Cricetulus griseus: one gene and its partner. The protein of the gene in region 2 purifies or fractionates together with the protein of the main gene of each other region. This does not show direct contact. Links are inferred from orthologs where the notes say so. Each region holds a gene or a part of one and is shown on either strand. Other genes may lie near its edges.

Region 1 (4,312 bases), on a different chromosome or scaffold from region 2:
GGTAAGGCTCCCAGTGTCAGCACACCATGCTGGTGGGCTAGAGAAAATGGGTATTTCTATCATTTTGCTGGTGCAACTGTAAACTGATATGGCCACTATGAAGAGAATTTTTTTTCTATTTTTTTTTTTTTTTTTTTTTTTTTTTTGAGTCAGAACCTCAGACTCTAGTCCCGACTAGCCCGGAACTCACTATGTAGACCAGGCTGACATGGAACTCACAGAGATCTGCCTGCCTCTGCCTCTGCCTCTGCCTCTATCTCCTGAGTGCTGGGATAAAGGTGTGTGCCACCACACCAAAAAGGAAAAGAATTATGAAAGCAAGTCTGACAACTTCATTGGTGAACATCTGTAATTCCAGCACTTCAGAGTTTGAGGCAAGAAGACCAAGAGTTCAAGGTTGTTCTTGTCTACATAGACAGTTGGAAACCATCATGGGCTACATGAGACCCTGCCTCTGAAAAGCCAAGATAAAATACATATATCGTTTCACTTACTCCATTTGTTCTGTCCTCCTCTTCTTCTCACTTCCTATAGCCAAACGATTTAATCAAGTGTGACTATGCAATCGAAGCAGGGGATAGAAAATGCATGAACATACATACTCCCAGGATGTTGCTTAGTAATACGTGAATAGCAACTAGTAGTCATTGAGTTCAACAGCACGTTATCAACACTGCTGCATTTCAAGTATTACCTCATTTCACATGGCACAATCAGAACCACTCCTGCTAGATACTTGTAATCCAATTCTACACAAAGAGCAACATCAGAGCCATAAAAATGTGTAAGGAAGGCAATGTAGGTTCTGTGTCTGAGAAAGCCCTAGGATCATGGTTGTACTAATGGAGATGCTCCAGTGACCTGCATTGAGTTATGCACTTTTACAGATTTTTGTATCTTACTCCATAATTCATACTTACTGTAGAAATTGTGTTTTAAGTTTTAAAGAAAAAATGCAACTTTAGTGGCATCCTAATTGATCCTTTTTTGTTCCTGTGCAAAAAGTCATTAGAGTAGCTGGTGCCTGAAAGATGGAAAGTGAGCGGATTTTTGTTGTTGTTTTGCTAGTGCTGGGGTCAGAACCCAGGGCCTTGTGGTGTGTCAGGCAAGCCCATCGCCAAATGAGCTGTGTCTTCCAACCCTAGTGGTTCTTCATAATTACTTTCACTTTTCCGTTTAGTAGGAGCCGACGTGAGAGGCTGTCCGTGTTCCACGTGTCAAGGAAAATCCCAGGTCTGGGCTAGCAACTTGGTTTGCTCCGCACTAGGTCTCCCGGTGCCACATTGAAAGAAATACGGGAGGAAGGCCGGCGTCACGCAAACACGCTCAAGTTTGGCCACCGCTGCTCGCCGTAGCCGCGTCTCCAACATGGCGGCTCCCCAGGACGTCCACGTCCGGATCTGTAACCAGGAGATTGTCAAGTTCGACCTGGAGGTGAAGGCGCTTATCCAGGTACAGATTCTTAGACCCTCGCCGTGCTCTCGTTAGCCGTCTTGGCGTTCTCCGGTACCTTCGCGCACGGCCCAACTTAGCCGGCAGGCGTCCCTGCTCCAGGCCGGTTCCTCCGGCGCCGTTCTGTCGGGTCCCTGGGATCGCTGACCTTCAGCGCTTTTCTTGTGCATACTGTTGGTTCGCCCGCCGCTGGGGCATCCCGACGCCCCTCTCCTGTCCCCTGGCGATACAGCAGAGGTCCGGGGCTAGTCTGCTCACCCGCTGTCTCGGCGGTACCTCCGCCCTGCCACCTCCCGGATCACCTCCCACACCCTCTTCCCTGTGTTAGGGGCCCAAGAGGGTACCCAGGGCCACCTGACACGGGAGTCACTGGCCGAAGCTAACGTAACCTGGACCGTGGCTGTAATTTTTTTTGAATGAAGACATCTAATGGAGTGCAAGTCCTGGGTCAGAAGGCAGGCAGTGCCAATACTAGGACCTGGACGGGGAAAAGCCAGCCTAGGAAAAGCATTTTAGAGCTTCCGACGGGGAAGTGGGGCGCTTATCTGGAAGCAGGTGTAAGTAGGAGACAGTAGTGCAAGCAAGTTAACATAGGCAAGAGTAGAGAATGTGGAAATGGCTCCTCAATTTAGAAAAACAAACGAACAAAAAACAACTGAAGAAACTCATAATACAATCTGTGACAGCAAACGAAGAAAGGATAGGGGCGGGGGTTGGGGAGCACGTGGCTCTGCTGATGAATGCATGCCTATCTTGCACTGGGTTGCATCCCCAGTGCTGCATAAATGGGCGGTGGTTGCTGGGATACATATTCTCGAGCCCCTGTCAAAAAGGGATGAGGAAGTAGTACTCTCTGATAAACCAGATGCACACCTTACCACATCAGTAGTTTATCCTATGCCTCAAGGGGGTATGATTTTAAGAATAAGCTAGAGAATAAGTGAAAAAACTTGATGCAAACCTTAAATGTCTCAAACTTCACTCACTCCTGGGATGTGTAAACAACAAAATGTCTGGCCCAATTCTAGAAAAATAAACAAGAATTGGGTTTATACAAATGAAATTACCAGGGGCTGGGGGTAAATGTAACTCAGTTTAGAGTTAAATTTAGCCATGCTCAAGGCCCTGCTTTCAGTCCTCAGAATGCATCAATAAATACATATACATACATAAAACTAAGCTGCTAGTGTGTTGGTGCTAGCACTTGGAAAGAAGAGGTAAGAAAATCATGCATCTGAGGCCAACCTGGAGTACATAGAGTGACCCTGTCTCAAAAACAAAAAACAGACTACATCCAAAATTTAAAAAAAGAAAAGTTACGTTTTCATATTCCGATCTGCTAGGTCTCTTTTGTGACCCATGGTTTTTGGATTCTTGTGGTTACTATTGAGTAAGCATAACCCCATACATTGCATTCTTATGGTCTTCCAGCCATTCTGCTAAGCATTTTATGTAAAGAAATATGACTTTGAGGTAGGTCAGATGAAGAATTGGAAGTACAGAGAACTTAGGCTTTTCAAGATTGCAAGTTTTCAAAATTTTCAAGTTGTTGTAAACAGGATTTGCATATAGTAGCCCAAGTCTAGAGCCTGCACTAAATCTTGGCTCTAGTGATTCTGAATTTCTTTCCAGAAGCAAATTCTCAGTATCTTTAAACATTATGACTTGCAACAGATAGATGGTTTGTAAAATCAGACTAAGTTACTTTAGAGTTGAAGGATATGAAGTCACAGTATCTCTTAGATGCCCATTTTTTTTTTCCCCAGACAGGATTTCTCTGTGTAATCGTCTTCACTTTGTAGACCAAGGCTGGCCTTGAACTCACAGAGATCCACCTGCCTCTGCCTCCCAAGTGCTGGGATTAAAAACTTGCGCTACCATCGCCTGGCTTTAGATGCCCATTCTTGATGAACATGTAAGCTGCTCAAGCCTTTCATATTGGCTGGATAGTGCTTTGTAAAAGTCAAGGTTGAGTTTATCTAGCTACTTATTTATCTACACACATATAATAATACATATCGTGTGTGTGTGTGTGTGTGTGTGTGTGTGTGTGTGTGTGTGTGTGTGTGTGTGTGATGCTGGTGATGAAACCCAGGACCTCAAGCACATGCAAGTGCTTTACACTGAACTGTACATCCCGGCTACTTTTATGTATTCTGCTCAGTGTTAATCTTAAGGGGGATGAGGAAACTGAAAATGATGTTTTTGCTTTTGTGCGAAGGAGAACAGCAGTGAGCAGGATGAGGTGAAACTAGGCCAACCTTAGTTGTGGGCTAAATCAGCTTTCCTTCTGTATATGTCATTGACTGGAGAAAGGCCCCTCATCTCTTCCTTGTCTTACAGGATATTCGAGATTGTTCTGGACCCTTAAGTGAGCTCACTGAACTGAACACTAAGGTGAAAGAAAAGTTTCAACAGTTACGATGCAGGATACAGGTAGGTGAGGCTCCAAACCTTTGTTACCTAAGGGTAGGTAGCCAGGGTGGGAGCTCTGGCCTAGAGTTTGAGAGTTGACCAGGTTCTTCACATACTACCTGGAGAGAGTAGTAAACATTGTTACACTGAGGGTAAATGGACTAACAAAGAATGGAACCTGTGCACTCATTCCCTGCTTGAGTCTGTCACCAACATGTCCTGGGTGTTTTACATGCTATCATTTTTCGAAGTAACCCCCCCTTATGGTTTCTGGAGTCACAGTTTACATCATATCACACCTGACTTTCACTACAATGCAACTGCTGTCTCAAAACATAAGAGAGTGAGAGGGAACTGTGTGAGTAGCAGAACCATCCACTGCTGTGCCCTCAGGGACGGATGCTACGAATCTGCCCATCACTGGGTGGGGCTAGAACCACCTGGT
Region 2 (3,818 bases):
TAGCTGTGATTTCTTATTTTCTACAGGTGGTAGAATTATACTTGCATCCATTTTCTTTTTACTCTCCCAATAACAAGTAAATAGCACAGAACCAGATGCTAGGAAGCAAGTCCAACATGTAATTTATACCTAGTTCTGCTCAAATTTCTGAGGATGTGGATCACATGCATTATTCTGGTTTCCTTATTGTGTTCTGAAAATAAACTATACAATGAATGTTTAAAGGTTTTAATTAATTTTCATATATTTTTAAATTTTCATTTTATGTGCCTGTTTTGCCTGTATGTGTCTGTGCACCTTGTATGTGCCTGGTGCCCATGGAGGCCAGAAGAGGGTGTCAGATACCCCTGAACTAGAGTTATGGATGGTTGTAAGCCACTATATAAGTGCTGAGAACCAAACCCCAGTCCTCTGCAAGAGCATCAAGTGCTCTTAACTTATGAGCCATCTCTCCAGCTCTGAATTTGAGATTTTGTTTGTTTGTTTGTTTTTGTTTTTTGTTTTTTCAAGACAGGGTTTCTCTGTGGCTTTGGAGGCTGTCCTGGAACTAGCTCTTGTAGACCAGACTGGTCTCGAACTCACAGAGATCCACCTGCCTCTGCCTCCAGAGTGCTGGGATTAAAGATATGCGCCACCAACGCCCGGCCCAGCTCCAGATTTTAACTGATGATATTTTAACAAATATCAATGAAACTCTAAAATTGTTAAAAAGAAGTCAACTCCTCTAACATTTGGATACGCCAATATTTACAGTTAGACATTAGGCTTACTGTTTGAAATAGTTTTCCGGTCTCTTGCAATAGTGAGAAAACAAAGGGAAAAGATTCCGTGTCATATCAAACTGTAACTGGGCTGCTCCTCCTTCATTGAAATGGTTAGCCAGGATTATCTGAAACAAAGAGCAATCCATGTAACGGCTGCCTTCACCAGCACAGCCCCCAGCACCCACTGACTTACCTCCTGATAGATGTACATGTCCAGCTTCTCTACAAGCATTTGCCAGAAAACTCTGAATAAGGAGAAACAAAGCTGCTGCTCCAGCTGAAGCAGACGGTCCCGTAAGGTCAGTAAGAGTGGGCAAGCTGAGCTGGACAGGGACATCACTGCCTGCTCACACTGAGACGGCAGGGACAGCCATCTGGAAAAACAAACAACCTTCACCAAAATGACCTTATCACTCTGTATCCTTAAGGTTTCAACAAATCTTTTTTTCAACTTGTGCACTGAGCTAGTCAACCCTAGATCATATGCCATTTCTCTATGAGATCCACATTATAACTTGTATATTCTGAGTAAATTCTTCAAAATAGATTTTAGAAAGGTTTACATCAAAACCAAAGTTTGAACCTACCATACACAAACCCCAAGTTCAATGCCAAAACTAGGGGTGGGGGTTCTACAAAAGCTAAAATTTAGAGTGTACATAACACCTTTGACTCTAACTTATTTTAAGGGTGACTGATGCAAGACATACCTTTCTTTCTTATACAATTTTGCAGCGTCTTTCACTTCTCTAAAAACATGGTCTACTTGGCGAGTCAACATATCAAGCTTTAAACGCTCTAAGAGGTTTATCATGTCATCAAAGACAGAGCTCTCCATGGAGGCTAGTTGTCCCAGCTGCAACTTACTGAGGGCATTATTCTCTGCAAAGACCTCCAGTGCTGCCTGTTGCAGCTGCAGAAAGAACTGAAAGCAAATATCTGTTAGTACATTTATTAACACAGTGCTAGGCATCCTGAAATAGAATTTCGATATCATAGAATTCCCTCATTTAAGGTGTGCAGTTCAGCATCAGTGAGATGGCTTCATCAGTAAAGTAACTTGCTGCCAAGCCTGATGACCTGAGTTCAAGATGGAAAACAGTGAAAGGAAACAACTGTAGCCTCCACATGTGTGCCATGGTGAGCGAACACACACACACACACACACACACACACACACACACACACACACTACCTACACACCTTGGCACAGTGGCAACACCACACTCCAGAGGCTAACACCAGATTACCATGAGTTCAAAACCAGTGTGGGCAACATGAGTCCCTTTCTCAAAAGCAAAAAAGTATAAAAGCGTTCATCCTCTCCCAAAAATAAAACGTACAGTTCAGGACCAGTAAGATGGCTAGGCGGTTAAAGGCATGTGTCACCAAGTCTGATAACCTCAAGTTTGTTCCCTGGGTCCCACATGGTAGAATGACAGAACCAACCCCAGTAAGTTGGTCTCTGATCTCCAAGTGTGCTGTGAAACACACATGCATGCACAAAATAAATCCTTTTTATTACAATTTGATAGTTTCAGTAATTCAGAGTTGTGTATCCATCACAATTCTACAATACTGTCCTAGCTTCCTGCAACAAAACCCCTCATTCATTACCTGTATTTTCATTTTCTCCACACTCCCTTCAAGTCTAAGCAATCACTAATCTACTCTCTGTCTATGGTTTTGACAATTCTGGACATTTTAAGGAAATGGAACCAAATGAAGTATTATTCTTTATGACCAACTTCTTTCACTTAGTTCTATAGCATGTACTATGTACTTCATCTGTTTTTATTACCCCCAAATACTCCATCATATAAACATATTACATTTTATCCACTCCACTAGCTGCTGGATGTTTGGATTATTTCTATTTTGTATCTCTTATGCTTAATGTTTCTGAAAACAATGGTGTGTGCATTTTTTCTGTGAGAAATGGTGTTCCTGTTTGTCTTTGCCTGTCTGGAGGAGTGGAACTGCTGGATTTTTAATTCCATCTTGCTGTCTAAAGAACTGCCAGGTTGTCTTCCTCAGCAGCTGCAGTAGCTTACATCTTCACCTGCCATATACAGAGGCTTAAAGCTCTCTCCATGCACACTGGTAGCAGTTTTGTGTGGGTTTGTTGTCTGGGTTTTGTTTTGGCTTTGGTGCATGTAAGAGTTTTGTTTGTTTTCTTTTTTGTACTGTTTTAAGATCTTGTTATGTAGCCAGGCGGTGTTGGCCAATGCCTTTAATCCCAGCACTCGGGAGGCAGAGGCAGGCAGATTTCTGTGAGTTCGAGACCAGCCTGGTCTACAAGAGACTGAATCTAGGGCTTCATTTGTACTAAGCAAGAACTCTGCCACTGAGCTAAATCCTAACCTCAAACGTATCATTTTTTTAATTCCCCTATACATACTATATTTTTAAGTGGTATATCTGTCTATTTGGGGTTTTTTGCCTATTTTGTTTTTATGATATATAACAGCTTACGTTTATAATGTGCCTATTTGCTCATCATAGTTTTTACAGTGTAGTGGATATTTCACCATCGCATGGTTATCTAAGATCCTTATGAATGGCTTCTGTCATGAAATGTACTTTATGTACTTATACACAAGTATAAAGCCAAATGCATAGCTGTTATCTCAGTTTTAGAACATCTATGGATGTAGATAAACAGCACCCTGCCCAAGAAGTCAGCCCACAGGCCCTCTGAAATCACTTTAGTACTGGATCTAAAGTATCTAAGAGAAATTAACCAATGTTGAAACTATAAAGGCTTTTGTTGTTGTTTTGTGAGGGAGGATTTCATGTACCCCAGGCTAAACTTGAACTTCCTGTGCAGCTGAGGATAACCTAGAACTTCTGATTTTCCTGCCTCTACCTCCCATGTGCTGGTATCACAGACTTTGCCACATGCCCACTTTATGCTGTGTGGAATCAAACCCGGGGCTTATGCATAGGGGCAATGATTCTACAAACTGAGCCACAGCCTCAGTCCCTCAAGGCATATTTGAGTGGAATGCATACCAGAAAACCTGGTTACCATTACTTAGCTAACAGCCAATA

Evidence for each region.
Region 1: the proteins of Rint1 (region 2) and Bnip1 purify together in Homo sapiens (co-immunoprecipitation; 3 studies listed by BioGRID and IntAct, counting the BioPlex papers as one, with this or other methods). This does not show direct contact. The link is inferred for Cricetulus griseus from reciprocal best matches to the Homo sapiens genes RINT1 and BNIP1.

The regions. Positions count from the first base shown.
Region 1 is NC_048600.1:47,019,886-47,024,197, reverse strand, and holds the start of Bnip1 (vesicle transport protein SEC20), read left to right. Parts: upstream 1-1,320; 5' UTR 1,321-1,368; coding exon 1,369-1,452; intron 1,453-3,795; coding exon 3,796-3,888; intron 3,889-4,312. UniProt on the Homo sapiens protein: As part of a SNARE complex may be involved in endoplasmic reticulum membranes fusion and be required for the maintenance of endoplasmic reticulum organization. Also plays a role in apoptosis.
Region 2 is NW_023276806.1:170,795,472-170,799,289, forward strand, and holds part of Rint1 (RAD50-interacting protein 1), read right to left. Parts: intron 1,690-3,818; coding exon 1,475-1,689; intron 1,139-1,474; coding exon 958-1,138; intron 890-957; coding exon 771-889; intron 1-770. UniProt on the Homo sapiens protein: Involved in regulation of membrane traffic between the Golgi and the endoplasmic reticulum (ER); the function is proposed to depend on its association in the NRZ complex which is believed to play a role in SNARE assembly at the ER.